4 linked regions of the Drosophila melanogaster genome follow. The protein of the gene in region 4 interacts with the protein of the main gene of each other region in a pairwise test. Each region holds a gene or a part of one and is shown on either strand. Other genes may lie near its edges. The genes, in order: CG11349, to, CG10026 and ATPsynCF6L.

The links.
Region 1: the proteins of ATPsynCF6L (region 4) and CG11349 interact in a two-hybrid assay, tested with the Drosophila melanogaster proteins (one large-scale study listed by BioGRID).
Region 2: the proteins of ATPsynCF6L (region 4) and to interact in a two-hybrid assay, tested with the Drosophila melanogaster proteins (one large-scale study listed by BioGRID).
Region 3: the proteins of ATPsynCF6L (region 4) and CG10026 interact in a two-hybrid assay, tested with the Drosophila melanogaster proteins (one large-scale study listed by BioGRID).

The regions. Positions count from the first base shown.
Region 1 is NT_037436.4:4,469,093-4,477,569, reverse strand, and holds CG11349 (uncharacterized protein), read right to left. Parts: upstream 4,503-8,477; 5' UTR 4,494-4,502; coding exon 4,491-4,493; intron 4,433-4,490; coding exon 2,546-4,432; 3' UTR 2,475-2,545; downstream 1-2,474. Other genes in the region: CG32248 (uncharacterized protein), read right to left, coding at 5,186-5,731, 5,803-5,805; CG32249 (uncharacterized protein), read right to left, coding at 6,774-7,499, 7,561-7,563.
Region 2 is NT_033777.3:25,235,986-25,243,913, forward strand, and holds to (takeout), read left to right. Parts: upstream 1-4,194; 5' UTR 4,195-4,204; coding exon 4,205-4,265; intron 4,266-4,380; coding exon 4,381-4,621; intron 4,622-4,688; coding exon 4,689-4,828; intron 4,829-4,882; coding exon 4,883-5,190; 3' UTR 5,191-5,683; downstream 5,684-7,928. Other genes in the region: Jhbp7 (juvenile hormone binding protein 7), read left to right, coding at 1,728-1,794, 1,852-2,089, 2,215-2,460, 2,516-2,717; CG11854 (uncharacterized protein), read left to right, coding at 6,073-6,142, 6,219-6,456, 6,523-6,662, 6,725-7,029; bam (bag of marbles), read right to left, coding at 7,538-7,928.
Region 3 is NT_033779.5:19,451,519-19,459,798, reverse strand, and holds CG10026 (uncharacterized protein), read right to left. Parts: upstream 4,122-8,280; 5' UTR 3,619-4,121; coding exon 3,616-3,618; intron 3,391-3,615; coding exon 3,231-3,390; intron 3,170-3,230; coding exon 3,075-3,169; intron 2,976-3,074; coding exon 2,631-2,975; intron 2,572-2,630; coding exon 2,393-2,571; intron 2,324-2,392; coding exon 2,206-2,323; 3' UTR 2,076-2,205; downstream 1-2,075. Other genes in the region: Top2 (topoisomerase 2), read left to right, coding at 7,514-8,071, 8,129-8,280.
Region 4 is NT_037436.4:5,008,979-5,015,983, forward strand, and holds ATPsynCF6L (ATP synthase, coupling factor 6-like), read right to left. Parts: upstream 3,156-7,005; 5' UTR 3,118-3,155; coding exon 2,822-3,117; intron 2,767-2,821; coding exon 2,619-2,766; 3' UTR 2,466-2,618; downstream 1-2,465.

The sequences.
Region 1 (8,477 bases), 540 kb from region 4:
AATTTAGTTTTCAAGATACTCTAATTGGGGAGGATTCCCTATCCCGCATTGTAGTTTATATAAAATGGAATCTTATCTGAAAGCTTGCATATGGTAAGGGCATCGTATTATTATCAAAATTATATTACATATTACAAGGTTAGTTGGCTGGGAAGTAAAGGTATTTATTAACAGTTTATGTTTCTTTTATTTGTATTTATCTTAATTAAATTTTAGAACAATTTCTTTACATGTTTCTGCTCTCCATCAAAATTTATCAAATAAAATATAGTCTGTTGCTTTTTTTACAGCGTAAAAGAAAGTCTGTTTCAAAAGACTCTAACACTCACTAGCCAAGTACACGTTTTAGTCTTTTACGATAAACTTAACGTTCTTTTAGCCTGTTATGCTCTTTTTTCGTTTAACTAAAATATATGATAAATCATTCTGGAAACCCGTTTTCAAATCGCCCCACTCTTCGGAGCCGGCGACTAGAAAGTGCCACCACCGTCATGAAGCGCATCTCCAGAGCTCTAAAAAAAAAAAAACAAAACAAATCCGAAAAGAGCTAAATTATAAATATACAAAAATCAACGCCAAGCAACAGGGCAACAAAAAAGATGAAAAATAAAATTCCGCACACTTTTAACACTCGGCTCGTGGCCAATAAATAATGGAAACGCGTGGCAGCCGAAATTTGGCAAGTTCCTTTCATGTAATTCTGATTCTGATTCTAATTCGATTCTTATTTTGGGGCTGCCTGCGGCTCATCGAGGGGCTTTCTGTTTGATGGCTGATAGAAAATAAAGTGCGATCGTTCTTGAATATGTATTCTCGGTTGTGGGCTGTCTAAAATTAATTATGTGGCTGCCAAGTGCTGAAAATTAATCATCCGAGCATCGAATGCTCGTCGATTTTTTTAGGCTATGTTTAACGGATGACGCAAGGCGGAGTTACATGAGATCGGATTAGTTATGATCCCGAAACTCAGAACCCTTTCAGTACAGAGTTGTAGCTCTATGTTGGCCATCTGGAAAGTCATTAAATAATAAATACACCTAAAGAAATCAGAGTACATTCGATATATTTCATACATAAATGACTTTTGATTATAATTAAATTAATTGATTAATTGAATTATATTTCACTGCCTTAGTGATTAAAATTGTTCGATTCTTATTTAGTAGAACAATTTAAATTGAAAAATTAATACTGTTCTGAAAATTCTCAGTTCTGATTTTGCGCAGTGCTTCGGGAAAGCCTAAAAATTATGGTTCATAATGTTTGATAGCAATAATTGCCAAAGAGGCGGGTGGCACCGGATCATTGAACTCCAGCAGCCCCACTTTGAACCCACTCACTCGCTTTGCATAGCCACAAGCCCGCGAAATTCGCACAGACATCATCCGAAATTTATTTCTGTAATCAGCGGGCTTTTAACGGTCTCCGTTAATTTTATGCCGAGCCGAGCTCCTCCGTAGAGTTTGATCCGAAAGTTTGCCATAAATTATTTTAATTTAATGCTACTTGTAGACATTTTTTTGAAGGCCCTGCTGCGGTCATTTGACTCTCTTAAGCTTGCCAATTTCACCAGGAGAAGTGCGCTGATTTATGGGGATCAGCTAATAGGTTTCTATGGGTCGGTGCATTGGGTCACGAGCCGACGAGATGGGCTAAGGCTAATCCTCTCTGACCTACAGTTGGCCAAAAAACAGACGCACATGCCGGCAGTGGACTGCCCACATTTGATTTAGGAGTCCACTCGCTAATATTGACATTGATTGCCGAATTTAAACATTACTAAGGCCCGCCTCAGTCTGAGTAAAAAATAATCATAACAAAAACATAACATACACGCAGCCTTTTATCCATAGGTCACAAATGAGGTGGGCCAAAAACGGATCCAATGAATGTGTTTTGGGCAGCTCACCTCTATGCAGTCGACTGGCCAAGATATGCTGCCTGGTGAAACAATAGATTTTGTTTTATTTCTATTTTGATTTCAGTTGATTGGATTTGCATGAGAATCGAATCTAAATGATTGCATAAATTTATGTCGACAATTCATTTTGCCTCTCTCACTATAAAAAAAATGTCTTTGTGCCTCTATTTCTATATAGCTCTGAACTAGTTTCCTTTCCGCGTACCCTAATGGACAATATATACACCTTTTCCATCAAAGGCAATCGCAGATATGGCCAGAACATAAATGCCCTAATCTATTTGCACGTGTATATTTATGTTAATGTATGTAATTTAAAGGCAAACAAAAAAATCAAATATACATAGTTGGTAAATATCTGGATATTTTTATGTGCAATATAGATATTTGTAGTCTGGTGTAAAGCTTAATCAAAAGCTCAATTTATAAAGCTCAGCTTGAAAACCCGTGTCGATTTCTCAACAAACTTTAAAGCTACCTTGAGCGGAAACGGAAGTAGCCGCCATAGTTTTCGCCTGAAAGTATGCTTTAAATAAGTAATCAAGGTTTGTTTGGTATGCTCTTGTAGCAAATGCTGATAAGTATGATTTAATTTATGTTATAATATGTTCTGTTTTAAAATACTTAAAACTCGAATGACTGTTTGGGCTTCTGGTAGTGATAGCCATCCTCACGATAGTCAGTGTCGTACTCCGAAGCAGATGTTTTAAGATCCACATTGTTTCGCTTTGAACTGCGCCTATGAGATCGCAGTTGTTTGGGAGCAACCACATAAGAGGACTGCTTGTTACTAGCCGCAAAGCCCAGAAATCCTAGCTGCCCATCATCGTCCGCATCATCGTCATCGGGTATAAGGACTGAACGCTGATTAGGATTAACCGATACCAAAGCCCGCTGGTGTCCATGATGAGGATCGCTGTAGAAGTTGCCGTCTATGATGTTGGTGTCCTGTTGATTTCCCAGCGCATTTGTGGGTCCCTGGAGATGGGGTTGTCCGAAAACGTTTCCATTCAGCACATTGAGACCCTGGTAGTTGGATCGATTGCGCTGTCGTCGGTTGTTGAGGCGTGGTACTTGTCCCGCTGCCAATTGGGCTCCAATGGAGGGGTCGGACTGTCGCTGATTGGGATCAAAAGCTCCTGGTCCAGCTGCATTGGGTCGCTGGTTAGGCACGCCTTGTCCAGCTCCAAGTTGGGCACCTGTCGAAGGATCAAATGCTCCCTGTGCACTTGGTCTCTGGTTAAAGCCCTGACCTGCACCCAATTGAGCACCCGTAGAAGGATCAAATGCTCCCTGTCCACTTGGTCTTTGGTTAGAAACACCCTCACCTGCGCCCAATTGAGCACCTGTAGAAGGATCAAATGCTCCCTGTCCACTTGGTCTTTGGTTAGAAACACCCTGACCTGCGCCCAATTGAGCACCCACGGAGGGGTCAAAAGGGCCACCTAGCTGAAGGTTGGGATCATATTGGTTTTGCGCAGGTCTTTGAGGTCTTTGACCAGCTCCAAAACCAGTGTTAAATGGTCCTCCGGCAGCTGCTTGGGCACCAAAGGAAGGGTCGAATCCTTGGCTCCCTCCAAGTTGAGCTCCTCCCGCAAGCTGACCTCCTCCGGCAGCCTGTTGATTTCCAGCTCCAGCATTACCTATGGCTCCCAGCTGAGCGCCCAGCGAAGGATCAACAAAAAAGTTGAGTCGGTTGCCATATCCACCTCCATAGCCACCTGGACGTGGAGGTCGCTGACCGTTACCCAGAACAGCCAATTGTCCGCCGGCAACAGGTTGATTGGCCGGAAGATTAGCACCAGTGGGAGCCAAAGCACTGGCTGGTAGCTGAGCACCTATGGGATCAGAGGGTCCACAGCCAGGTGGTACGTTTCCAGGTCCAACAAACTGGCAGTTGGGTCGAAATCCTGGTGCCTGGGCTCCAGTCGGTGCTTGAGCCCCAGCAGGATCCTGTGCTCCTGCTGCACGATCTGGGCGAGTAAGGGAATTCAATTCCGAATCCTGGGACTGCACGTTGATCTGCGTGTGGGTGTGGAACACCGAGTTGGGGGCACTGGCGTATAGAATTCGACTAGGACGACGGCGGCGATAAACCACTTGGGTAGCAGCTGGGGTGAACAAGTCCTGATTGTAATCCGTACGGACATGGGGCTTGCTATGCTTGTAGTGAATGTGCTGGGTCTTTACTTCTGGCTTCTTGTCATAGTGATGGTAGTGATCCACTCGCTGCTTTTTGGGCTCTTCATGTTGATGCTCCTTGTAGTATTTGGGCTCCTCGTGCTCCTCTACCTTGTGGTAAACCACCTTTTCACTGGTGTGCTTCTCCTTCTTGTAAAAAGGTTGCTCCACCTCCTTTTCCTCGTGGGGAGGTAGGTAATGGGACTCCTCATCGTCATCTTCGTGATCCCTGGAGTGATGATGCCGCTGGTGCTTGTGGTGTTTCACATGGGAAACGTCCGCCAGACATGCGATTGCCATAAGGCATAGAACCAGGATCACGAGGACATTCTAAAATAAAAATGGATTGGTGAAATGCGGAACCTAGAACCTATCGTTGATCCGTTACCATTGCTAAAGTGCCAGTGACTGTAAGCAGCTGTAGATGCAACTTATATACTCTCTTCGGGATCTTTTTTGTTGCATCCCCACATCGAGCCCCCAAAAAAGACCACAGTTGAAAGCGAAACCTGTTGCCGAGCGTGAGAAATCGATTCCGCGCTTTATGTGACCCATTTGTTCTTATTGAATAGCCGCCAATTTAAATTCTATTGAATATTCTGAAGCACAACGAAAGTGTCCCGTAAATTTGTCAGATCAAAGCGTTTAAATTTATTGGCCCAAGTGCGCTGCACACTTATGCGATAACGCATGGGTTCTTTGAACTTCGTTTCCAGGTGTGAATTTGGCCTAGTAATACAATTGAAGCTTCAAACTAATTTATCATTAACAACTGATTGTTAGTTATGGATAAGAAAAACTGCACTCCAGTACTAACTAACAATTATTAATAAAATTTAATTTTGCGATTTTTTTTTTCTTTTCTAGCAAGAATTTTAGCACTTTTGAAATGTTGTTTTAGGTTTTATAGTTTTTTTTTTTGCGCGCTTCTTTTGCTAAAACTATACACCATATCATTCTTGTTTAATTATCAAATTATCATATTATCTTTATTAGTGTTTTAATGCTCAAATAAAACTATGTTTTTATAAATTTAATATTCGAGTTTTTTATTGTCGCATTTTATCGTATCATCATCATCGTTTAAGCGCGGTGCTTGAACACACGGCGACGGACGGTCTTGTACTTGTATCCCTGCTGGCTGGCGGCGGGCTGGCTATAATCGTATCCGGAGCGGGCGGCAGAGGGGGCGGAAGCTGCGGCCTCGAACACCGGTCCGGAGGACTCGAAAGCAGGAGCTGGAGCAGAGGCGAAGGACTGCACGGGGGCGGGGGCGGGAGCTGGAGCAGGAGCAAAGGACTGAACGGGAGCTGGAGCTGAGGCGGCGGCATGGTGGTGGACATGGGGAGCGGGAGGCACGTATGTGCGGGCTGGTGCGGGTGCAGAGGCGGCCTGCTGGAAAACGGGAGCAGGAGCAGCTACTGGAGCTGGGGCAGGGGCAAACGACTGCACTGGGGCAGAGGCAGCTGGAGCTGGGGGCACGTAGGTCCTCACTGGAGCCGGAGCAGAGGCAGCTTGCTGGAAAACAGGAGCCGGGGCAGAGGCGGCTACCTGGCGGGGAGCATTGTAGTTGTAGCCAGATTCGGCGGCCACACAGCCAACCACGGCCAAGGTCAAGATAAAGAATTTCTACAGGGAAAAATCGAAATAGAATAATATGCCAACTAATATAATCCGCAATACAGATGGGAGATCCTTACCATTTTAGATGATCTGTTTGCTTTAGGAGCAACGAACCGAATAATATCTTAGACCGGCGACTCCTGTACTTTTATACAAGTCGGAGAATCTGCGGATCCAAACGGAAGTGCTGAGTATCATAAATCAACGAAACGTTTTTCTTCGCGTCGAAAAATTTGTTTAATTGGGCAAACAGATACCTCGACCACGACGCCATATGGGGCTTGTTTTTATCAGTTAGGTACGCCATGGAGTTTGGATTTAAAACTCTCATTTTTTTGCTGTCATATTAAATATAAATATTCATAAGAATACACGTATCACAGCTTAATTTTTTTGCCAAAACAATTTTATCGCAAACCTGATAGTTTGGTTTCGTCTTGAAGAAGAGCTTTTTTAATTCACCCAAGCTTTTGCTAAGACTAAACCCGATATTGGGTTAATAGAAACAGTAGCAGAGAGCTATTTTTAAATCGATCCAGAACAAGAAGTATAGCAATTAGCCGGTCATAAACTATCTAGTCAGCCGTATACCTTATCCACTTAAAGCAAACAAATTGCTCAGGCTAATGACTTAATGTTCCGCTAACTCGATTGATGGACTGATTGATTAATTGTTCAGAGAAGCCTCAAGATCGCGACTCCCAAGGTATTAGGTATCTTAAACATTTCCTCTTGGGGTTAATGGCATATGGTGCCCTTTTTTGCATAATCACGTTATCTGATCTGTATTGACGCCCTCCAATGGTCTCGAGTCTAAACAATGTTATTGTTTATCTTTCTGAGCTTTCTTTATTGTCTCTTTTGCGCTAATTCGAGAATATGCTAATCGTATCAAGTCAGACACACAAATAAACCTATTAAATGTATTTTTGCATTTCTTTGCCAAGATGGTGAATTAGCATTCGAATATAGTTGGTGTTGTGGGTTAAACCACAAACCAGTTGAGTTGGTGGTTGCTCAGAAATGTTGTTTCGGATGATGAGGCATCTTACTGGGGCGGCAGGTAGGTGTTACGAGGAGCGATGACTTGTGGCGGCAGGTAGGTATTGCGCGGAGCAGCCACCGAGATCACTTGCGGAGCAGGACGAGCAATGGACACCACCTGTGGAGCAGGACGAACAATGGACACCACCTGTGGAGCAGGACGAGCAATGGACACCACCTGTGGAGCAGGACGAGCAATGGACACCACCTGCGGAGCGGGACGCGCAATGGACACTACCTCTGGAGCAGGACGCGCAATGGACACCACCTCTGGAGCGGGACGAGCAATGGACACCACCTGTGGAGCAGGACGAGCAATGGACACCACCTGTGGAGCAGGACGAGCAATGGACACCACCTGCGGAGCGGGACGCGCAATGGACACCACCTGTGGAGCGGGACGCGCAATGGACACCACCTGTGGAGCGGGGCGACTAATCACTTGGGGTGGCAGATAGGTGTTACGAGGCGCAGCCACGGAGATCACTTGGGGAGCAGGACGAGCTATCTGCACCACTGGCGACGGACGATAAACGGGAACCACTTGTGGCACCACCAGAGGGGCGGGAACCACCTGACGCTCGATGATCTGGGGTTGAACTTGAACCCTGGGAACAGAGATCACCTGGGGTTGCACCACCTGCACCTGAGGCGGCAAATAGGTCCTGGATAGAGAAGTGGCACCGACCACTCCCAAGAGAGCCACTGCGAAAGGCAAGAAGAGGACACGCTGGGCAGAAAAATTTTCCATTAATCTCACAATTATTAAATCCAATCCGATTGAAACCCACCATGTTGATCACACAAAGTCGAACAATTAAACTGTTTTTTTGCGAGCAGAACATTTGGTATTTATAAGACAATTTGGGCAGAACCCCAAATATATAGTATATCTAATAACATTCAGCTGGTATATCTTTTGCATATGTATCGGTATTGTCATTCTGATTGCAGTCGTCTGGCGAAATGCGGTTACGACTGCGAACCATAAATAAAAGCAGTAGTCCAGACGCAGGTTCCATGTCAGCCATAAAACAATTGCTCGCATCAATTTGAGTTAAAATATTTAAATAAAAGTAGCTCGCCAAGTCCATAAATCTGGTTTGGTAAATACTTTCACTTTTCTGCAATACTATGAGTTAATTAATAAGACGCAATTTGAAATGCGTATTTTTATTAATTTGAGTTTCTAATAAACGCATAAAGATTCCATCTAAGGGATAATTGGATTAGGGATTCAGTTTGTTTCGATGTATGGTCATAGTACTGTTTTGGATAGATGATTCATACGTATTCCCATACCGGTTCAGTGCCCGAGTAATGGGTACGAACTAAATTTTTATTATTATTGTTATTGCTGACCTAAACAAAATACTATTAACACATTTTGACGTTCCTTAGCACAGTCAGATTCTGCCCTGGTCCTAGTCCTCCTAATTAAGAGCGTACATATTTCATTGAGCAGACTTCTAGTGTTACGTACTGTTCATCTAACCTAGTATACCCACTTATTTCAGACAGTAAGAGCTATAATACGGGTTTTTTTTTACTAGTTCGTGTTCTGCTCAATTGTCTGTATCGCCACTGTTAAAGAACTGTGTTCTGTTGCCGTAACAGAGTAAGCCGGGACACGAACCACGAATGTAAGCCACAACGGTCGGTTCAAAGACGATGTTAAATAATTTTTGGAATTTATGTGCTCTTAATG
Region 2 (7,928 bases), on a different chromosome or scaffold from region 4:
AGAAAAAGTTAATGCCATTCAGAACGATTAAACCACATCAAACCAGAATGCCACCAAAAATTCCCAAACTCATCGTGAATTCATTAAAAATTGAAAAGTAACCGCCATTCATAAGCTTTCCACTTCGTTACAACGTAGCTAAACTAGTTATAAACTAAACGTATTTACTGAGTTTACAAAGAAAAACGAAATCATGTTTACGCGCAGATGAATCAACCAACTCAAAATTGAAATGCCAAATTATTTGCAGGCAAGCCCGACGTAATAAAATAAAAGCGTGTTTGCATATATTACCATATTTCGCCCCCGAAAATCCGTTGTAATCTCGATGTCTACGACAGCGTCTAGGAATTGGCTGCGCAAACACATCAAAGTGGACAAAAGTGAAATATTTGGACTCACCTGGCGCCAATTGGATGGGTAAATAAACAGAATGCCGGTTTCATGCCAATCACACACCAAATATACATATACATATGTATATATGTAGTATATGCTAATTGCTGATGACGAACGCCAGGAGCCTTTAACTAGAATTTGCCAAATTAAATTCACTCGGCCCGTTCCGAACGTCGCCTGTCCAATAGTTTTGAAAGTGAAGCCACCTCGCCGAGCAACTTTTATCCGTCGATCCATCCATTATCGATTATCGATGCCGTTGGAACCTGTTTGATGTCGTCCAAAATGCCCGACTATGTCTAATTGGTTTATGTCGGAATTGAGTTGTGTTGGCCACAAAAAGATTTATCTTCGTACATATGTCCAAAACGGAAATTTCATAGTTGGGAGCCTTGGGATGCATTCTTCCTTCTGGTCGGAATACAATTTCATAACTTAAGTGATTTTTATCGTGGATCCTTAACCATGACCTATTCATTATCATTCCCTTTCAGATTGCCTGGCCATTTAGCACACTTAGGAATTCCCCCAGAGGTAGGTTCCCAATTCCAAGTGCTGATCTCAAAGCAAATATGGGATGAATAATATCATAAGCCAATAAGTACGAATTGATATTTGCACTTTATTAAAAGTGTGAACAAAGCGCGGATTCCATTTCACGGAGTTTGAATCTATAAAAAGTACACAAGATGCCGAAATATAGTGCAAATTATATATGTATAATTAAATTATATATATATATAATGCATTGCAGGATAAGTGGAAATATATTGGTTAATTGCTTGAAAACTGACTGGATTGAGCATTAAAATTTTGAGTTTCGCTGCCTTTTGTGCGCGTTGCCATTGTTATTGTTTATTGTTATTTGTTGCTGCATGCTAATAATATTAATTAATAATAATGCTGCTGCCAATTCTGGTTAGGGGTAGCTGCGATAAAGATAAAGACTGCGATGTCTATGATGATGAGGAGAATCCATAACACGAAGCGAAAGAGATATACACATACGAATAAATAAAAAAAAAATATAAATAAAAATAGCCAGCAATCAGACAGACAACAACAACAGCAGCAGCAGCAACAACAAGAAAAACAAGGGCCAAGACGCGACAAGTCAGGAATGAATAAACTATGAAGTGTACTGGTTGTTGTTGGCCACATTTGTTGCCGCTCCATCGTTCTGGCCGATCAGAAATTTTATAAATGCCGCCGTCTGTCCAGAGCCGATTTACAGTTTGCCATTGAACCTGGTCGGGCATTCGCCAAATCGTCGAGCGGTTGAATTTCGGGGCGCTTGAATTTCGTACGTAACTAGATCCATATCCAGAATGATGCTGCTCCAGCTGGGCTGCGTGGCCCTCTTCTGCTGCTTGGTTAGCGGTGCCTCGAATTTCCGTGAGTCCTTTGGCCAACAATCCCAGTGCTTCGCTAATCGCCAGCTTATCCTTGCAGCTCCCGAACTGCCGCGCTGCCACATGGGCGACACCAGCTGCATCATCAACGTGTCGCACATGCTGATCAGACAGCACGCGAGGACCGGCTATCCGTCCGCTGGATTCCCCCAGGTGGAGCCCTTCCTGATCAAGCGCTTCGACATCTCCGACGGACGCACTGGCTCCCTGAATCTAAAGCTCAACTTCAGGGACGTGAATGTGGAGGGCCTGTCCAGTGTGAAGTTCGACAGAGCCGTGTAAGTAGCAAGTGAAATGAAAAGTGATTTCCTTCTTAAGCAAAAGTGAAGAAGTTCTCATGTTTATTAACAGAAGAAGATATATTAAGTTGATTGCACTTATCCATCATAATCGTATTTTTCAGTGGCTTTGGCGCTGATCCTGCAACCAGCAAGTTTGAGATGTACGGATCCTTTCCCAAGATCGTGCTGAAGGGCAAGTACGTGGCGGATGGACGCATCCTGATCCTGCCGATTCGTGGCGATGGCGATGCCGAGATCGTGTTGCACAATCCCAAGTTTTCGGTGAAATTCAAGCCGGGCACACAGCAGCGCAATGGACGCACCTACCTGAGCGTGGATAAGCTCAAGGTTCTGGTGGAGCCACAAAAGTAGGTGCAGTTCGGATTTTAGCTGAGATATACTAACATATTTGTGTTCCCACAGGATGAACATTCGGCTGGAGAACCTCTTTAATGGCGACCAGGCATTGGGCACCAATCTGAATCAGTTCCTCAACGACAACTGGACGGAGGTGTGGAACGAGCTGCATCCCTCCATTCATGTGGCCATCGCCGAGATCATGAAGAGCGTTCTCTCGCAGCTCTTCAAGCGCTTCGCCTACGAGGATTTATTCCTCGAGAACTGAGCACTAGTCGTCCTAGTCGCCATCAGGCGCCCTAGGACTTTAGGCTAAGTGTACGAGTATTTCCTCACCTATCCAAGCTATTCTCACTCACATGGGGCGTTGCATTCCGGCATTCCGGCCATTGACACATCATCATCGTATCATCGTATCTGCTAAGCTAAGCTTTAACTTGTAGAATAAACAAAAACATTCGAAAAAAAACTGGTTCTGCTTCTGCGGGGGGCCATTGTTAGCTAAAACGTGGATCTCACTATTTCCGCACAAGTGTCGCATACACTTTTTGTTTCATTTTTGGCCAGCAATCAGCAATCAACAGGCAGCTCACGTGATGGAACGATTGATTCGAAATTTGCATGACAAAGGCATTATTGCTAAGGTGACTATACTTGTGGATAAAAGCGTAGTTATACATACGCTTAAAGTATTAAAACATCCAACAAATTGAAATAAACACCTTAATTATTATGAGCAAATACTTTGTGTCTTAAAAAAGACGAAGATGCATGCTCCTACTACTACTCCTACATCCTGTGCAACTAATTTAGCCCAAAGTGCACTAAAATTAGTATATGATATGATGATATGATATATGACTAAGATCTGCTTGTCTTAGAATCAAGAACTAACTAAATGGCAGTGCTATTAATCTGAACACAACTGTGCTGTCACTCATTGCGAACTCATTTCACTGTCCAAGTTCAAGAGTAGCCAACGGTATAGCTGCCATCCCGATCCCAGGGAATCGGACACCCAGTTGGCCTTGGGTCAGTGAAAATCTTCCACGAGCGAGCAATCAACTGCAGCGATTCCGAGCGAAACAAGTTGCTTTTGTTCTCCACGGGGGCTGGACTTTAAAGCGGGACACTTGGTCATTAAGTTAACCCAAAGTCTAGGACCTGTTCCGAGCTACTACTCCACCGCTACTCCTCCACTGCCCTTCACTTCGATTCGCAAGAACTAAAGCCAACTAAAGAACTGGTGGTCACGATGACTGCGTTGTTTTCGCATCTCAATTCGGCTATATTTGGAACTGGCCCTTTTGTGAGTTGCACACTTGCCAGTTAACTTTGTTAAGGGAGAACTTAATACCATGACTTTTAATTGGACATAATCTGTCTGATACTTAAATTCATTGAGCGGATTTTCGATGTAACTGATTGATGAAGATTAAGGTGAATAAGAAGATTTGCTACATGATCTACTTGCTGTCTAAAGTGCACCCAAATGAGGTGATAAACTAAGGCTTGTATTGAAATTAGAACAACGTTTTCTTACCTAATACCATCAGATGATTCAGTTGCTATTCGTTATTAGTTGATGATTCTGAAACGAGCTCTGGAATTGACAGACAGACGGTTACGGCACAGATAAGAGCTATATCAAAGGTTGCCATTAGACGTTATTTGAGTTGCACTTAGTGGACCACTATAAATACTAGGCGAAAATCCCGTTCGTATTCAGTAACTTAAAGTTATAGACGTGTTAGCATGTTCGCAATCGCATTCGCAGTGGTTTTGTGCCTTTTGGTCTCGGTGGATGCCAAATTCCGTAAGAGAAAGTCCTTTAAAACAAGACCTTGCCAATGAAGTAATAATCTGGGAAACCTAGATAGACACCTACCTCTACTTTTCGGTTCCAAAATAATCCTTTGTGTTCCTCACAGCCGAAGATCCAAAACCTTGTAAGTATGGTGATGGCGAATGTATCATGAAGCTGTGCAACACCCTGTTCAGCGAAAACTCGGCGGAGGGGGATCCTGGTCTGAACCTGATGCAGCTGGATCCGTTGAAGGTGGATCGGATGGTTATTAGCCAGGGTGAGAGCTCCAGTCCCGTGGGCATAACTCTAACCTTCACCGACAATCTGTTGTATGGGATCAAGGACCAAAGGATCGTCAAAGTAAAGTGGGTGCAGGAACAACACTTTGTTTGGATGAGAAGGATGTGATTCAACTTGCCTTGATCTTTGCAGGGGTTTCGGAAGGGATCTCACCGCCAAGCACGAAGTGAAAATTGTCACGAAAACCTTCTCACTCGTTGGACCCTATAACATCCAGGGCAAGGTACTCATTCTACCGATCAGCGGAACTGGACAGAGTAACATGACAATGGGTAAGCTATGCCAATTGATTTTTCAGATTTCGAGGAACTAAAAATCCTGTCCAGTTAACGTCAGGGCAATCGTCAGCTTCTCGGGCAAACCGCTGGTGAAGAATGGGGAGACCTACCTGGACGTTACCGATCTGAAAATAACGATGAAGCCGGAGTCCAGCCACTACCATTTCAGTAATCTGTTCAATGGGGACAAGGCGCTGGGTGACAACATGAATGTCTTCCTCAACGAAAACTCGGAGGCCATTTACAAGGAGACGGCCAAAGCAATCGACCGATCCTTTGGCAAACTTTACCTGGGCGTCGTCAAAGGTGTGTTCTCCAAACTGCCGTATGCCAAGTTTTTTGCGGATGAATCGTGAGTTAGCTCTTCAAAGTGGGCAGAGTCCACATAAAGATACTAGATCATGTTGTTTGCGTACTGACAGATCTAAGTTTTGAGGCTAGCAATCATCATTAGGTTTAATGGAGTTCGTGTTTCGCGTTTGAAAGTGAGAACACAAGTAACTACTATTAAGCCATCTCAGCTAAATAATCTGTAAGTGTTGTGTGGCAATAAAAGTTACATATATGTAGTTAGCACATTGTAAATTATTTATAAGTGATACAAAGAATTCTGTAAAATACCATAAAAACATTTAAAACTATGACCCATTATTAATTAAGTTACAGTGAGTGGAACCCTATAGATCAGGTTGATCCAAAAGATGAAGGACCGCCTGAAAGTATGTGTTATTCGCGCGCGGAGATTCCGAAAGGCAGGGAATATCTGTAACTGGAAAAGGCAGTTACATTAAAAAAAAGCTTGATAAACAATCTTTGTTGACTTAGCCATTAATTAGACGTTGAAACGGGAATTAATGTGCGTTTTGGGGAAGGCCGATCCAATTTGCATATATCGAGCAAATTGCACCCAAAACGCGATTAGGAGCGATTGAATGGGACGGGGTCGATGTCTGGCTTGGGAGTTGGGAACTTGGGAGTTCATTAAAGGGAATCGTAAAATGAATTCGCCGGCTATAACCAGCCACTTTGCCATACAGCCAGCCTGCCGGTTTCGGTTTATAATCCATTTAACTGACTCAACTGCCAAACGGTCTAAAGTCAAATTCTGTGCGGCTGAAACGCAAAAGCGGTTTACGGCAACAAAAACATGATACATTTCAATTGACGAAAGTGACTATATAAGTGTTAACGCCCGCGGCTAATGGATCAGTACTCGATTACGTTCGCCGCCAGCAATTATGGAGCTAACTCTCGCCCTCGTCCTGCTGTTCGGATGTGCGTCCACCTACGGACACGCCTCCGATTTCCGTGAGTTGCACACACCCCCTTTCCGTAATATATAATGTTTATGTATATTTCACAATCGCCACGCCCCAATTTACAGCCTCGGGCATCGAGAGGTGCGCCATAATGGACGAGCAGTGCCTGGAGGACAGGGTGAACTTCGTGCTCAGGAACTACGCCAAAAGCGGTATCAAGGAGCTGGGCTTGATCCCCCTCGATCCGCTGCACGTCAAGAAGTTCAAAATCGGACGCAATCCGCACAGTCCGGTCAACATCGATCTCAGCTTCCACGAGATGGACATCTTGGGTCTGCATCAGGGAGTTGCGAAGCGAGTGAGGTGAGTGGATCCTCATTTCATTTTATGATCGCTCTGCTTACTACATTTTTCTGTTTCGGATTTTAGCGGATTCACAAGGGATCTCAGCCGCTCCATCGAGCTGGTCATGGAAGTTCCAGAAATAGGAGTCAGAGGACCCTACTCGGTGGACGGAAGAATACTCATTCTGCCCATCACCGGAAATGGCATTGCTGACATACGCCTCAGTAAGATTTGCCTCCCACAGCTTTGAAATCTAAAATTTTTAATGTGTTTCTGGAATTCGCAGCTAGAACAAAGGTACGTGCACAGATCAAATTGAAGCGCGTCTCCAAGGGCGATCATCAAACCTACGCCGAGGTGATGAACATAAAGGTTGAGCTGGATCCATCCCATGTGACCTACCAGCTGGAAAATCTGTTCAACGGCCAGAAAGATCTCAGCGAGAACATGCACGCGCTTATCAATGAGAACTGGAAGGACATCTTCAATGAACTGAAACCGGGCATTGGCGAGGCCTTCGGACTGATAGCCAAGTCGGTGGTGGACAGGATCTTTGGCAAACTGCCGCTCGAACAGCTCTTTGTAGTCTAAGACCTTAGTACAAACACCCTAATTAGTCCAAACACAAATCGTAAATATTTATTTGACTTTCAAAATACAAATGCAAAGCAAATAAGAAAAACTGGTAAGTTCCTCATACAAATAAAACGTAGTTGCAAAATAAATTCAGGCACTAAAGGATTTCTTATTTCTAAAGTTTAAGTAAAATACAGATTTATAAAAGTGAAAAGCAAACACATTTGTAGTTTTGCCAAATAAATGTAAACACAGTTAAACTTATATAAATTTGTTATCAATCTCAAAACAGGGGTAATAAATCGTTTTCATTTTGATTTTGTTTGTATCGATTTGATAAATATTTTTAAAAAGCTTATATAAGCTTATTCACGAATACAAATATGGAGTCCGCACTATTGGACAAATATATCTTACACTATAGATATGTTTACTTTACGAAATTATTGCTTCCCATGAGAAGAGTAGCTTTTTTAAATTGCATATTTGCTGTCATTCTTTTATCGATGTGCACAGCATTAGTTTAGCTTCTGAAGCGAGGTACACGTCCGGTGTGACGAGGTGGCGATGATGGCACTTCCTCGGTCTCCTCAAACTCCTCCTCCGACGCTGACGGCTGCTCCATGCTCACTGCGCCAAGCTTCTGTGGCCCGCAAATGGCGACAACACTGGGCGGGAAATAGGTCTCTGGATTGGCGATCAGAGCGGAGAGGAACTCATGCTGCTCCAGAACGCAATAGATCGGACCTCCCAGTTTGTATCTCTGGGCGATGAACAGATCCTCCGCACTGATTCCACGCGCTTCGGCCGCCCTTAGCTCGGCACCGGACAAAAGGATGGCCCGCTCGTTCAACGACTTGTGGCTTTCGGTCATGGCCCCGGAGTAGCGGTGCTCCAGATCCATTTCCCAGTTA
Region 3 (8,280 bases), on a different chromosome or scaffold from region 4:
CCAAGCCCGAACAATCCTCACTTCGCGGGGCAGTGGGAAATTGACCCCCGTTCGGCACAGTTGATGTTTGTTTACAAATCGCTGGACATAATTTATTTGTTCCTATTGTGTTTTGCTTTTGGCCTGGGATCTGCCTGCCAATCGCCGCGTGATAAACCGCCTTCGGTGATAAGGAAACCCAAACGGGGTGTGAGTGAGGGGTTGATTCGGTCGGGGTCACCCTTGCCAGCTCATTAGGAAGCAATTATCCGTTTAGGGTTGCAAACATATCTTCTGGGAGAGAGGGAAAAATTGAGGTCAGGTACACTGTCAACGGATGTCAACGACTGTCAGTTTGACACTGCCTTCGGTGACAGTTGACAGCCGGGGAACGCCCTCAAATGTGTCTCCTGGATAATATGGCCAATTTCGGAAGTGAGATGCGGAAGCAGATGAGTTCGAATTGAGGAAGTTCTTTGGGGAATTTGGCTTTCTGCATGTCTACGGAATAATAAATCGGAGGTTATTTCAAGAGTAAATTGAGTTCAGAGCATACTAATAGAAGAGACACACAATGACACTAATTAGAAATCAAACAAGTACCAACTATGGTTCCCTTTAAAGTTAATAATCCAGCGAACTATCTAAGTGGTTTTAAATGGTTTTGGATACTCGTTTGCTCAATTTGTAATGACTTTCCTTTAGTTACTGGTCAAAAAGATTTCTGTCGTCCTCGGAATGATATATTTATGTGTATCTCGAAATCCCCAAGACATTGGCTACTTAAAAGACAGCACATGTTGAAGAAAACGAATCCTTTGCCCCTTCTGACCGCCTTCTTTGTTTTTCAATAAAACTCGAATAAATTCAGTTTGCCAGCCATAAATTATGTCCAGCTCGGTTTCGCCTCACACACGTGTTGCCAGAAGCCAGAAGCCAAAAGCCGAAATGCCAAAAAGCCAACTAATAACGCGCATCGGTCGTGCCCCCCAAATGTAGGCTATGCGATGTGTGTTTTTTGTCCGAATGTTTTTTCCGTTCTGACTGCCACTGTGTTACTGTCCCCCCATAAATATTTGCGCAATAAATTTTTTAATCTTGTCGCTTTAATCGCACAAATGTCGCTGTCCTTTATACGCACTCACACAGCTGTCCAGCACGCACACAGATTATGGCCACCCCCATCCCCACAATCGAGCCACATACACATAATACGCATAATGCCAACCTAGACCCCCGGTAGCACCGAAATCAATTTCACTATCGTTGACCAAACGGAAAAGCAAGGCCATTGCGGAGAATAGAGGGGGCAGGATTCTGACTTTGGACACCCTGCACTTGGACGAAAAAAATTTGTGAAGCAATATACTTTTAACCGAAAGCAAACATTTAATTATATATACTTAATTTCAGTTTATATATAGTATATGCTCTAAACTCTGAAGCTTTGGGTGTAACCATATATAAATTTCTAAATCTTAACCATGAAACCTAATTGACAATACAGAGTAACTTTAAGTCGAGAAAGTAATTCTTTACCGTTTTTTACGCAGACGGCAATGACTTCCGGGGGTCGGAGGATAGCGTTGAGACAACGGGATTCAATAAAAAATATCAAACATATTCGCAACGGTCAGATGGAGGAATCGAAATCTCCAGCACCCTCCTTCTGTTCGTCGAGCTCGATCTCCCCTCTCGCTCACATCCGGTGACAGGACGAGTGCAAACATATTTATGGCTACCGACTGCATTTTATGCGTTGTCCAACACTCAATTACCATAACGGCGAATGGTCGTGTGGCCAGTTGTCTCGCTCTAGCACCTAACGCATTTTGCATACGAATCGCATAAAACTCAAAGGACCAATATGCTATACATCCTAACCGAAACGAATGTTTTGCGGGCTAGCCGGGCCATTTGATTCGGTTAGGAACAAATTATTATTGCCTTTTGCCCCGAATTTGGTCGTGATAGCCGATGGGTCATTGATGTGACCGCCAAATGTATGAAGCATTACGGTTTATGCCGCTTCTAACCTCAAATTGTTGGGAACGAAACTCAAATGAATTGTTTGGTGAGTAATATTGCGTAGAAGTAATTTTCGAAATTCTTTAATATTTAAAATATCACCTACTTTGCTTCAATTGATTCTGGTATCATTACTTAACATATATGTAGTACAAAAATACAAGTATCAAGCATATCATTTTAAACAAGGCATGAAGCCTAGTCAAAGATGAATCCCAATTGCTCCATATCCTTTTGGATACTATTGCCCGAACACTGCTCCTTCAGCATATCCAACCAGAGCGTATAAGAGTAGTCCTCGTGCAAGCCACCATAGCTGAAATAGTATAAGTTTAATTATATCTGACTAATTATTTTAATAAAAAAAAAAAACCATTTTACTTACCGCTTGGGAAGATGTTCTGGGTTGATGTGTTTGTGCAGGGAAGTCATGTCACTGCCATGGATGTATAGCTTTTCTCGCATAGCGGCGTTGAGGAAAGGTTTAAATATCTTGAATGCCGCGTTGAAGACCCAATTCTGATTTACAATATGAAGGGCGGATGTTCTAATGGGCATGGAGGTCTGCAAGCCAAGTGTAGGTTAAAAAAGCTATTGAAAATAATAAAAAGTAGTTATCCTACCACTAGTAGAGCAATCATCTTCTGAGCCACGCTGGGACTCAGGTGGAGTATGTGTTCCAAGCCCAGGTCCTTCAGATCGAATATTCCCACTCCTCCGACAATCTGTGAGATGGGTTCCAGGCTGCCCAGTTCCTGCAGGACAATGGTGGCGCGAAATATATCGTCGACGGTTACTTGATTGGGTCGCCACAGTCCGAATCGGTAGATGAGTATCCTATGGCCATGTTGATCCCGATAGGGAGTCACTGTCAGGATGTCCGATTGCCCAACATGTCTCAGGTCCAGAGGACGAACCTTCTCATAAAAGCTTTTGTTCTGCTCCCGAAACCTGTAGTAACTGCAGAGCTGAAAGGGAATGAGTTATTGCATTTACCTAATAGATAATTATCAAATAGTCACTTGCTGTTGGCAAACTAAAATGAAGATTTCCCCAAGTTTTCTTACCAATTTGTAACTGTTCTCGATTTTCCAGTAGCGGGCTCTTAGGAATTTCTCCAGGTACTTCGCATCACTTCTGTGTGGTTGGCATTCATTATGTTCTGGAGAGGTTTTGTTCAGATGAATACCTTTGTACCTCTTAGACAACGGACTATAACCAACCTAGTATGTAGTTACGGAATTGTTCGATGACCTTATCCTTGGAACTGGGACACTCTCCCTGCTCCTGGGCAAGTCGGCGGATGTGCTCCGGAACCTCCTCCTCGGTGATGTTTAGCTTGTGCTCGATGGTGGGCATGGTGCGGCATCCACTGCTGGTCGTCTAAAAAAAGCCCAAACTATAGATACAATGTGGCCATAAGGGGGTGGTGCATTGATAAGCGCTTTTCACTCGCGCAAAATGTAAATAAAAATAAATCCAGTTGAGAATAGCGCAATATGACTGTTCCCGATTGTTTCGTTGTTAGCAACATTTCGCCACCCGTATTGACATTTAAATTTCAGAGAGATTTGGCATGTCACTGCTGGATGAATTTCTCGTTGTTACCATTTATGGGCTGTGATCCGCTCGACTCCAAGTGTGAAACTGAGCCCCCGATCGGAACCAGAATCGGGCCAAGTGGTGACAGTCCCAGGCGAAATGCTGTTTTACTTGTCGCTAAACATGTACGAGTGTGTATGCGACCATTAAATATTAACTAGAAACCGAACAACAATGAACATTGCGATAGCGCGAAGGAGACAGCCGATGAGTGATAACAGTGTGTCACTGAGCTCGAGCTAAATTTAGTGAATCTGCTGTACTTAATTGATGGAGCGGGAATCCACAAGAATTATAAACAATATAGTATAAGTAAAGTGTTGTGCAATTACTCAGTTTTGGCTGCACTTAGTTTTTAGAAACATTGCCTTTGGGTTGGTTGTTTCCAGCAATCAATACATTAGGTAGGTACACTTTCAAAACAATGTATGCAAAATGAAATCATTAAAATTTTTAAAATCATTTAAAATATATTAATATAATATAATAATATATATATATATAATATAAATATATACTAATTGGGGGTTAGTACCGATTGTTACATTGCTAGCTTAATCTTGGAATTGCATAGTGTTCAGCATCAGCCCCAAAATATGTGCTCTTGTTAGGTGTACCTCGACCTGGCCTTGGCCGGATTTCCCAATTCCTATCCCTACACCCCAAAACGCAGAGCCAGACCCAAACTTGCCCCCAGTGAACCCCGCGATTGTAGAGGAGCCACTGCCTGATAAGGCATTATCCGCCGCGTTCCCAGTTCGCCAATGGCTAATCGGGTCGCTTGGGGTCTGTGCGGTGCAGCGTTGTGTGAGTTCGACGCGTATTTGGCAGATACTGTGAGATGATGCCACCGCGATCTCAAAGTGCAGCACACACAAATTTCACACGTGGTGGCCGTGCAAAGTGCCTGGGTCAATATTTAATCATATTCAACAAATTCCAACTAATTACACATTATGCACTTTTAAGTACGCCTGATTGCAGTGCTTAAGTCCCAGCACATACATACTCGTAGTTCGGTTCAAGTGTTAATGAACTCGCCATTGTTGTCGTTAATTGTCTACATGGATTTGATAATCCCAAGATAATCACAATAATAGTGCCCCCCATTAGGGTGTTTGATAATAAGCGATTATTTCACAGCCCCACCTGCACCTTTAAACACCTGTTTAAATCGCCCCATTAGCTCGGGGTCTTCACTTTCATTACCAGGTAATAATCCAATCCGAGTGGCGGTTACTGTTTCTGGTCACGGTTTCTATTTTTTCCAGCTTGCAGTACGGGGAATCCGACTTAACGAAGATCGCACACAAGTGGCATCGCAGAAGCTTGGAATGAAACTGAGCTGGGGATCGCTTAGAACAGAAGATTTTATGAACACAAGTCTCAATGGAAAAAGTCGAGAAAAAGCGCAGCACTTATGACTATAAACCAGTATGCGAGAACGAGAAACCAGCATCTGAAAATAGGGAGAGCCAGCTCGATGAAACGACGATGCAAACACCCTTAAAAACGCAATTAAGTAAAATTTGTTGATTAACAATACATATACATACAATTTATTCAAAAAAAAAAAAAAGAAACTAATTGCTAATTGTAGTACTTATGTTTATCTTTTTATCTTACCAAATCTTAGGAGTTTTAGCTCACATCTTGTTCAACTTGCTAATAGTATCCTGGAATAAACTGCACTTAACTCCGCTAGTTCACAATTTTCCCATGCATCAGCTGAAATTCCCAATTTGGCAGGGTACAAACTGCACTCCGCATATTGAGAGATCTTTGCTGATGCTTGTCAAACGAGAATCAACAGATTTGGAGGAGTAGAGAATATTTCTGGACGATATTCGATGCTGTGCAAGTTCAATGAGCTCCGGTGACGTCACTGCGTGAAGGGTTCTCCATTACCCAAGCAGAAATTCCGAGTAACTCGGATGAATCCAGAATCTTTATATTTTGTTTGCACTATTCAAAACATGTTTCTGAGCCGGAATGAAAATCGCAACGGGATGGGGAGGGACATGCCCCTTTATGACGTCGTGTTGGGCAAGGTCAGGCAAAATGGCAGAAAGAAAACCAGTTCTCTTGTAGCCATGGTCTTGGCTTTGGAATATTCATATTACCAGGTGGTTAATTGAAAAGCAATCTTCACTTCAACGGTGCGAAATTTAATTGCACAAATGCAACTTTAGCAGCAATTTTTCATTTCATTTCATTTTAAGTAATTGCTGTATATCACATTGATGTGGGATACAATACTAAGCATATGAAAGGATAAATTTCTTAATGGTTTTACTTTGTCTTAAATTTTTGATAATTTGCATTTAGATCGAAATATTTTATCTTTTTTACATTTATTTCAATGCCGATTTATAATGTAAAAAATAGAAGAAATGTTAGTTGGAATAATTAAAACCCCTACTTTCGACTCGAAAAAGAATTTAACCCCAAAAATGTTATTATTATTTATTACCTTCGAATTTTTTAGAATTAACTGTTGCTTAACTCATCACGTGATTGAGATAGAACTAAAAAACCGTGATTTTGGCGATCACGCTTTTAGCGGAGTCACCGACCGCAGTTACTAGTTTAGCCCTGTTCACAATGAGCGTATGCACCAACCCAAACAACACTGTTATGGGACTTATCGATAGCGATTTCATTCAAACATCGATTTGTGCGCCTTGCCAGCTCTAAAACCAGCAATACTTCTCATTTGTTGTCGGTTGTGAAAAGTTGTTAAATGTGCTGTGCGTATTTTAATAGTTAGTTGAGAACTGTACAAGTTTTAGCTAAAGGCAGCAGACGCGTGGGGCACGTACAAGTCGAAAATTGTAGTGCACCGCCTCGTGTATCGCCTGCAACATAGAGTTTTGCCGCACTTCGGTTGTCGGCGGCAGCAAGAAAAGGCCACAAATACTTGGCAATTTTTTAACCAGGTAAGCAGAAAGTGCTGAATCATAATCGTAGAATTGGCTGTACCGTAGAACCTAAGAGCCCTGTCTAATTAATCCTTTAATATGATGGATATAGCAATTTTTCGGTGGCGTCGCTTGCAAATTAAAAATGGCGATACCGGTATAGACATTTAGCTAATTTTGGGCCTTTAAAAACCATAGTTTTTTGATTTTGTAGCGCGGAGCGCGTATGTAGGCCTGAATTTGTTTACTATAAAGTGAAACCCCTCGAAGAACCTTAATAAGAAATAATAAATAGCGGTGACTACCGGCAAACGCCAATAAACACGCACACTCACGCAACAGACGGCGCACGCCAAGCGTTGCCGCCAAAGAGACAGGGCTGTTATGTATTTCAAAGTGTGCTGAAAATCTGTTCCCAGTACAGTAGCACCAGGCAAAATAATACTTAGTTTGACGTTTTTCAATTTATCTGCAGTTATTTCTGTTTGACGTACCCAACCATTTCCCATGTTGGCCAAGTCCCATTCCATTGCAGCGTTTGTCTGGACGGCATTTACGCAATGCGCGGGCGCGCGTTTTGTTTTTTTTTTTCACCGTGGGTACAGTGCGCATTCATTAATAAAAAATTGTTGAACAGCAGCATCAGCAGCATTGGCATCACATGCCAACGCACAACCATCCCCGTTATTAAGAGGCCATTAAACATATTGGGTGCCATCTATCTTATTTGGTATTATAACAATTAAAAAAAAAACGTGAACATAATATTACTAATATACTAATAGCAACTGTTAACTGGGTGGGTACTGTAGTCTTCTGCTAGTAGCTTTGGTTTTTTTTTTACTTAGTAGAACGCAGGACGAGTGATTAATAGTAGCTAAGGCAATGGCTCGGAATATTAGTTATTAATATTAATATTACATTAACAAATGCCTTTTGCTTACTCTTTGAAGATTCAGCTAAAGCACAGCGACAGAAGCATCATGGAGAACGGAAACAAGGCCCTGTCCATCGAACAGATGTACCAGAAGAAGTCGCAGCTGGAGCACATCCTGCTGCGACCCGACTCGTACATCGGATCCGTGGAGTTCACCAAGGAGCTGATGTGGGTGTATGACAACTCCCAAAACCGCATGGTGCAGAAGGAGATCTCTTTCGTGCCCGGCCTCTACAAGATATTCGACGAGATTCTTGTGAATGCGGCAGATAACAAGCAGCGAGACAAGAGCATGAACACCATTAAGATCGACATCGATCCGGAGCGCAATATGGTGTCCGTGTGGAACAACGGCCAGGGCATTCCGGTGACCATGCACAAGGAGCAGAAGATGTACGTTCCAACGATGATCTTTGGTCATCTGCTGACCTCGTCGAACTACAACGACGATGAGAAGAAGGTCACTGGCGGCAGGAACGGATACGGAGCGAAGCTCTGCAACATATTCTCCACCAGCTTCACCGTTGAGACTGCCACGAGGGAATACAAGAAAAGTTTCAAGCAGACTTGGGGAAACAACATGGGAAAAGCCTCCGATGTGCAGGTAAGGAAATAACATTTCTTATTTTAGACCATCATCTAATGTTCAGTAAACCCACAGATCAAGGACTTCAATGGCACTGACTACACACGCATCACATTCAGTCCCGATCTGGCCAAGTTCAAGATGGACCGTCTCGATGAAGATATTGTGGCTCTAATGTCGCGTCGCGCCTACGATGTGGCCGCCTCATCCAAGGGAGTATCCGTCTT
Region 4 (7,005 bases):
AGGAAAACCACAATTGGAGGGGCGTCCTGTGTATCCCGTATATCCTGTGTTAGTGCGTATGTGTTCAAGTGGCACGTGTCCTGCACACACTCACATACCAAACCATATACACACATAGATATCCACCTGGACCCACTTTGTCATCAGGTTGAATTAGGACTATTCAATTTTCATTATTAAATAATGCCCAGGCATTGATGCGTACGTGCGGCTCGGCAAAATTAAATGCACATCGGAATTTATGGGTCTCGGACAAAATGACAAATAGTGCGTGGCTGATCCGCACAAGACACACAAGGTAAAAGTGTAATTAAATTTGTCCAAAATTCGAATGCACATCCTGGGCGAGGCGAAGAAGCCATAAATCTGGGCACATAAAACCCAAGCGCCGCCCCGGCTCACAGCGATAAATCACAACGAAATTCACATAATTTTTATCGTTTTGCACAATTTTGCATGTGCTCACTTACTACATACATAAATCTATATGTATGGAGCGAGCCTCCTTTCGCATCGGTTTTCAAGTTAAACGTTTCAATAAAGTCGAGCACCTGTCAATAAATCGAAATTGCCTCTCGTATTATTTTTATCGGCTACGTTTCGTTTACATTGCACAAGATGCTTCACTTTTCTCACAGCCAGCGGCCAGATATATATATATATATATCCACATATATTTTTGAGCCACAGACATGTGTCTGTGTGTGGTTCAGAAAAGCGGGAAAGCGACCTTAGATATCTCTCACCGCCTCGTCATCGCCATCATCTTCTTCCAGTTGAGCGGATCCGGTGGGTGAAGTCCCAAGTCCTTCTGTGGTTTCCAGTTCTCCTGGTTTCTCCTTAACTTCCCAACTTCTCTTATTTCTTGGGCGGTCGAGTTCGCAGTTTAATTCAGTTTTCGGCAATCGAATTGCGGACAGTTTTCATGGCTTTAATTACGGCTCGTCCGCCTTTGAAGTCATATTCCTTGAAGCTTTAATCTTAATCCACTTGCGCTTAAAAGCGGCCGAGCACAATTTTTACGAGCGCCTGTGCTTTATGAAAATTTAATAAGCCGGCAACGAGGAGAGTGCGCATAATGAGAGTGGCGGCCTGGTCCCGAAAAATCGGGACATGCCAGGACAGCCAGCAACCAGCCAGCATCCAGCCACCGCATCTCATTCGAATCAGAATCTGACTCTCCGGATGAACCAACCAACCAACCACCGCCCACACATGTCATGTAAAAAGACTGTTTAACAAGCAGAGCCAAGAAGGAGCAGCTTAAAAATGAAATGCGTTTCTCGTTTTCACATGGCTGCCATCGAATAGGTCACAGTGGTTGAAAATGTCAAGGAATGAGCGGATATGAGAAGAAAAAAGTTATGATAAAAAATATATGCATATAATTAAATAAAACAGTTTTTCTTGTAATAATTTAGATTTACCAAAGATTGGAAATATGATATTATTAAACGCTGCTCCTTTGTGATTAGAGATTATTAAATATTTTAATTTTATTTTAATTGAACTACTTAGAAGCCATTTAAATGTATAAAACCTCAGGTTTAATACAAGAATATTACCTTGTTTTAGGCAAAAAGATAAAGTTGGGAACTCAGACCACTGTCTTTGTTTCAACCTTGTGCAAGACGTTGCTCTCGTTGTACCGAGCCAACAAACAAGCGAAATATTATTTACGAGCTGTCAAATCCCAGTTAACATGCCTTACACAAGGACCAAGGACGTCTTCGGTGTGTTGGTGTAGTTGTTTGCTCGATGCGGGCGCATAGTTCGCTAAGAGACAGCTGAAGATGCGCTGCCACAGTTACAGGACACAGAGCTACAGATACAGATTAACAGCAACGGTACCAGAGATATAGACACAGATACAACGGGTATAGATACAACCGCACTGCCAGACACTCGTATGGCATTCAGAAAGTGTGCCAGGACGTCTGGACCGTAGTCAAATGCCGGATCCTTGGATCTTTGGATCCTTGAGGCCGACTGTAGCGGAGCGGCATAATAAAATAAAAAAGCATAAATGAAAGCGAGGCCAGGCCACGAAAATAATTTAAATTTATGTACTTGTGCGTATTTATTTGTGCGTTTGGCTTGTATTTCCTTCGCGACGTCTCTTGATTTGTTTTTCTCGCTCCCACGCTCGTCCTTTACACGCTGCCTCCTCTCGCTTGCCATCGTTTTATCAAGAGCAACAGCAGAAAGCATTAAATTCAATTTGCTTGTGTGAGTATCTGTGTGTCTGCCACTCAGCGTCAGTTACACGGAAAAAATGGAAGTGGGTGGGATGGGGCGTGCGGGAGCGCCAAAGGACGAAGGACCAAGGGGAGGGACAAGGCCATGCGAATGGCGGCGACCTGTTGTGTTGTTTAAGGAATTACTTAACATGGTAAAAGCATGGTGTGTGTGAGTGCTGCTTATGCATGTATGTGCTTAATAAAAATTTCGGTGCGTTCTTTTTTCGGCTCTATCCTGGAACAGCTACAAACGGGTAGCTCGAATCTGCAGGCATTTAAATTCATTTTCTTTTAACATAAACATTTTATAATTTTTAAAGTATTAAGAATTGTGCGAAAATTTTAACAACATTTAAAACGATTATTTTTAGTGATGATCTACTTTATCTTGTCCTTTTCATCCTTGCCCTTTGGTTCGTCAGCTTTCTTGCCATCTTTGGCTTTCACTTCTTTTTCCCCACCCTTTTCTTTGGCCTTTACTTCTTTATCTCTATTCTTTTTCTCAGGCTTTGGTTGGTTCTCTGGTCTAAGTAAATATTTATATTTTTATAAAAACTTTTTCCAATTTAACTGTAACTTACAGATCATCAACCGAAATGGGATCAATATCAATATCGGGCAACTTGAATTTCGGAAACTCGAGCATATCCACGCCCTCGCCGCCGCCGTATTGCAGAGCCAGGCGCTCAGTGACTTCCTTCAGCTCCGCCTCGAATTCCGGACCAGGATCTACGGGCTTTCCCTTGGGACTCTTCAGCCGATACTCGCGCACCTTGTCCAGGAAAATCTGATAAATGGGATCCTTGTAGCGAAGGGATGCGGTATTGCTCACACTCCTACATAAAACTAGGCTTGGTTTTAGGAAACGGCTAAACATTTTTTTGTTAGTTTTGTTCTCTGCTGACACGATACTGTTTCTATGCGATAAAATATGATTCTGAGATATCTTACTCAAGGGTAATTTGATTTCAAAATTAAAATAAAATCATTGTCTTCAGAACAGGTAAGCCATCTTTTTTTAAGATTTGAATTTATATTTTTAAACGTTTTATATCTTTTATTTTGAGTATTTTTTGCGTTTATCAAACCCCGCATTTTGGGCTAACGCATCTGAAGTGCTTCCCTGCTCCAGGACGAATTTTTACGCACCGTTGCTGCCCGTTCTCCTTTATTCCCGAGCGTGTAAGATTTTCTCTCTGTCTGACTCGTCGTATCTGCGAATGTCTGTGTGTGAGTGGGCTTGACAATGCGAGTGCCATCTCGACAAGTTTTTCTCAAAAAGTGAGACAAGTGGAAATCCGTTAAAGAAATACGTGAAACACATAAAGGCGATGATGTTGCTGCCGTCAACTTGCTGTTGCTGTTGCTTATGTGCACGCAGCAAGATACATAAATATATGCGCGTGTGTGGACAAAGAAATGTCGGCGGCAGCAAATAAAAATTAATTGAAAAATGTTTATCAAGGACTTTGCAGGGGAAAAATTTAAATGCACAGAGCAGAAAAGAGCTGAAAAGAGAACTGAGCCGTCGGACAAACTCTGATAATTGATGGGAAGACATGGCTGTGAAAATTATAATTAATATAAATTTCCATTCACCTTTTTTCCCCTCCCGCACCATCGCTGACAGTGCAAATAAATGGATCATTGTCGAGTGCGAAATGAGGAATGTGTAGCTTCTAAACCGGGCTTAATCGGCCATCGCCACATGCGGCTCATTTCAAATGCAGCCAGCACTCATGCTGCGTTTCGCATCCGCCACTCGAATTAAAATATACGAACATATAGTACGTACATATTGTGTGCAAAATATCCACACCGAACTAAAAATTATGCAACGCATTAAAAATTTAACAAGCGCTTATCCGCTTAGTGCAACGCCCGCAACACGAGGGGTTTTTGTACGCCAACGTCACTTTCAATATTTAAATTTTGACATTTTCTGCATTTGACGCCGCCATGTAGTGGAACGAGGTGTGGGGGGGGGAGGGGGGAGCGCTGCGCGGGACATGGACAATATTGCATCAATGCAAATTGGGCAGAAATAATATGCAAACATTGGCACAAACAGAATGGCAACCTAATTGGCAGCAATAACAAACTTCCCACGCATCTGACATTCCAATGAAGAGGGTTGGCTGTCGTCCTACGTGTTTTGAATCGATCAAGTTTCTAATACAAATACTAATATAAGTTTTTGTCAAAAAAACTGAGTTGAACTATAAATATTAAGAGGTTTTTTATCTGTGTTTAAAATATTGAAACTTGTTTTATCAACATACTTGCGATCCTATTTCTATTAGTATTTTTGTTCGGTGCACCAATAGTTTAAGCGTTCATTGGCGAAAACAAGAAGACGTGAAACGGTTATTGCCTGCTGGTGGCATATATCAGGTCTTTTTTGTCTGGTGCCGAGCGCATGTATCTCAATCTTCATTCCGACTACTACACAGAGCTAAGGATTAAGCAGTTGTGCGGCTGCCACGCCCCCGCCATTAAAGTAGTTTCCCCTAACTTGGTTAGAATTAATATTTAGCTGAGCGCAACTTTATTTGCAGTTGGCAAATGCTTTAACCTCCCCCGCCGACAACAAAGTGAGCAAAGTATCCTGCGGTTGCCTGCCGCTCCTTGAACGTGTATATGTATCTGTGCATCTGTGTATCTGTGTATCTGTGTATCTGTGCATCTGTGTGCCAGTCTATCCACGTAACTGTGTGGGTGTTCGTACATGATGTGGCTGTGTGTGCGTGTTTTAAAATGCAACAGATGCGCCAAATTAATGCGACCATTAAATTGTATTAGCGTGTGCAAAATGTAAAGCGCATTTGCCAGCAGATTGCTTCAGCCAAGTGCGAGTGTATCCGAGTCCCGGGGTTCTGTGTGGGATTGTGAATGCATCCCGCTATCACCGCAGTCTCTGTGCGTTGTATTCGCTGCAAATTTGTGTGTGAATAAACATGAGAGTCGTTGCATTAATGCGCATACAAAAGCCAACTGAGTCGAGTCCTTGCCGGCGTAACAGCTATCCCTGCGTAGGAACAAGGATTTAAATATCACCGAGAGCGAAGGGGGTTGCGGGATGCGATGCTGGGGGATTGAGAGCTGCTCAATGCTAAAATATCACACAGCAGCAGCATCAAGTTTATGTGGCATGCCACAAAGTACACACAGATACAATTACACAGGCACCGAGCGATATACAAAACTGCATTTGCCGCTTTTTGCCCGTGTGTGCGCTTTTCGCCGAGCTCTCTCATAAGTGCAACTTCAACGCGGCGGCAAATAAAAATGATAAATACGTTTTTTAACTAGAGGATAAAGAAAGGGGGAAAAAATTAAATTTTAATATCGTTTACCTCATTGTAACCTATATCATAGAGCTGTGTATATTAAAAAAAAAAGCTGCAAATATGGAAATGTCTGTAGAAAGATTCTTTTTTGCAATCAAGAAACATGAGTGCAACTGTATTGTTTTAAACCACAAATGTTTTCAAAAAAATACAATAATTTTAAATGATATTACAAATGATTTTGTATTATATGTTAAATTCGCGTTTTATATATTCCTGCAAGTTATTTAAGTTACTATATATTCAATGAATTTCGAATATTTTTCCAAAATGATTTCTTTATTTTATCATTAAGGCTTACAGGCACTCTTCCATTTTCTTTAGTGCATCTCAAAGGATGCCAACTATCCGGCGGACGGGAGTAGAGTGCTGGTTGCGGATATTTATTCATTAGCCATTTGGCATAATTTGTTGTCTCGCTTTGGGCGCTCTGTTTCGTCCTGGTAAAATTGCCAGCAACAATGGAGCAGTTCCGATTGGAAGAGGGTGGTGTTGGGGTGGTGGTTACCACTAATAGGCTTCTAATTGGGCAGTCGCCGCCTTTTTGTTTGCCCTACTATTCTTTCTTTTTTTCGATGTGCGCTATTACTCGCTGTTTCGGTATTCCAATTAAAATGCATCTGGTGGTGATGTATCTGCACCCTGCCGCCGGCAGTTGCAAGTAATTTTAGCCACATATTGCCAAAGTGCCGCAAATAGAAGCAGCCGTGCTACAGTTGCCCTTAAGCTGCACGCAGAGCTCATTAGAGCGAACCAAATCTGTGCTTAGAAGGGGGTGCCATTGGGTGGTCTTTGTTGCAATGGAGCACGGAGTCCGGGAATACGGGATATGGGGTATTAGATCCATTAACAGTCTGTACCTGCTTGATTATACATTTCGGCCTGCCCGGAGGATGCTGCCGCTGCTGCAGCTGCCGTTGATTTGGATTTTCGGCTGGCTGATGCGATTAAACAAAACTCACTAATGGAGCTTACCTCACCGATTCGGCGGCCAAAAAATGAGCGGATATCGCGTGCACAGGGAAAAAAGTTGGGTTCGTAGTCAGAATCCGCTGTTTATGAGCAGGTAGTCTAAATTCTTCTTCAAACACATTTAGAAATGGAAAAAAAATTATTTTTTCGTTATCTTACAAAATTTAATGTTATAATGAATTTTATATTGATCAATCAGGAAATTTGTAACAAAACTAAAGCTACTTGGTGGCTTTTAGATAGAGCATGCAAGTTGGAATATTTCTTAGGTCAGCTGAATTCTGTAATTCAAAGAAATTTTTTTGAGTATAAATATATTTCGTGCATGGTTTCACTAAGGGATTGAAGTCGTGTTTATGCCCCACGCCTGTTGCGGTCATAATTGTATTAATGAACACATGCCCTGCCCGACCCCCAGCCACCGAAGCCAAACAGGCGGATTG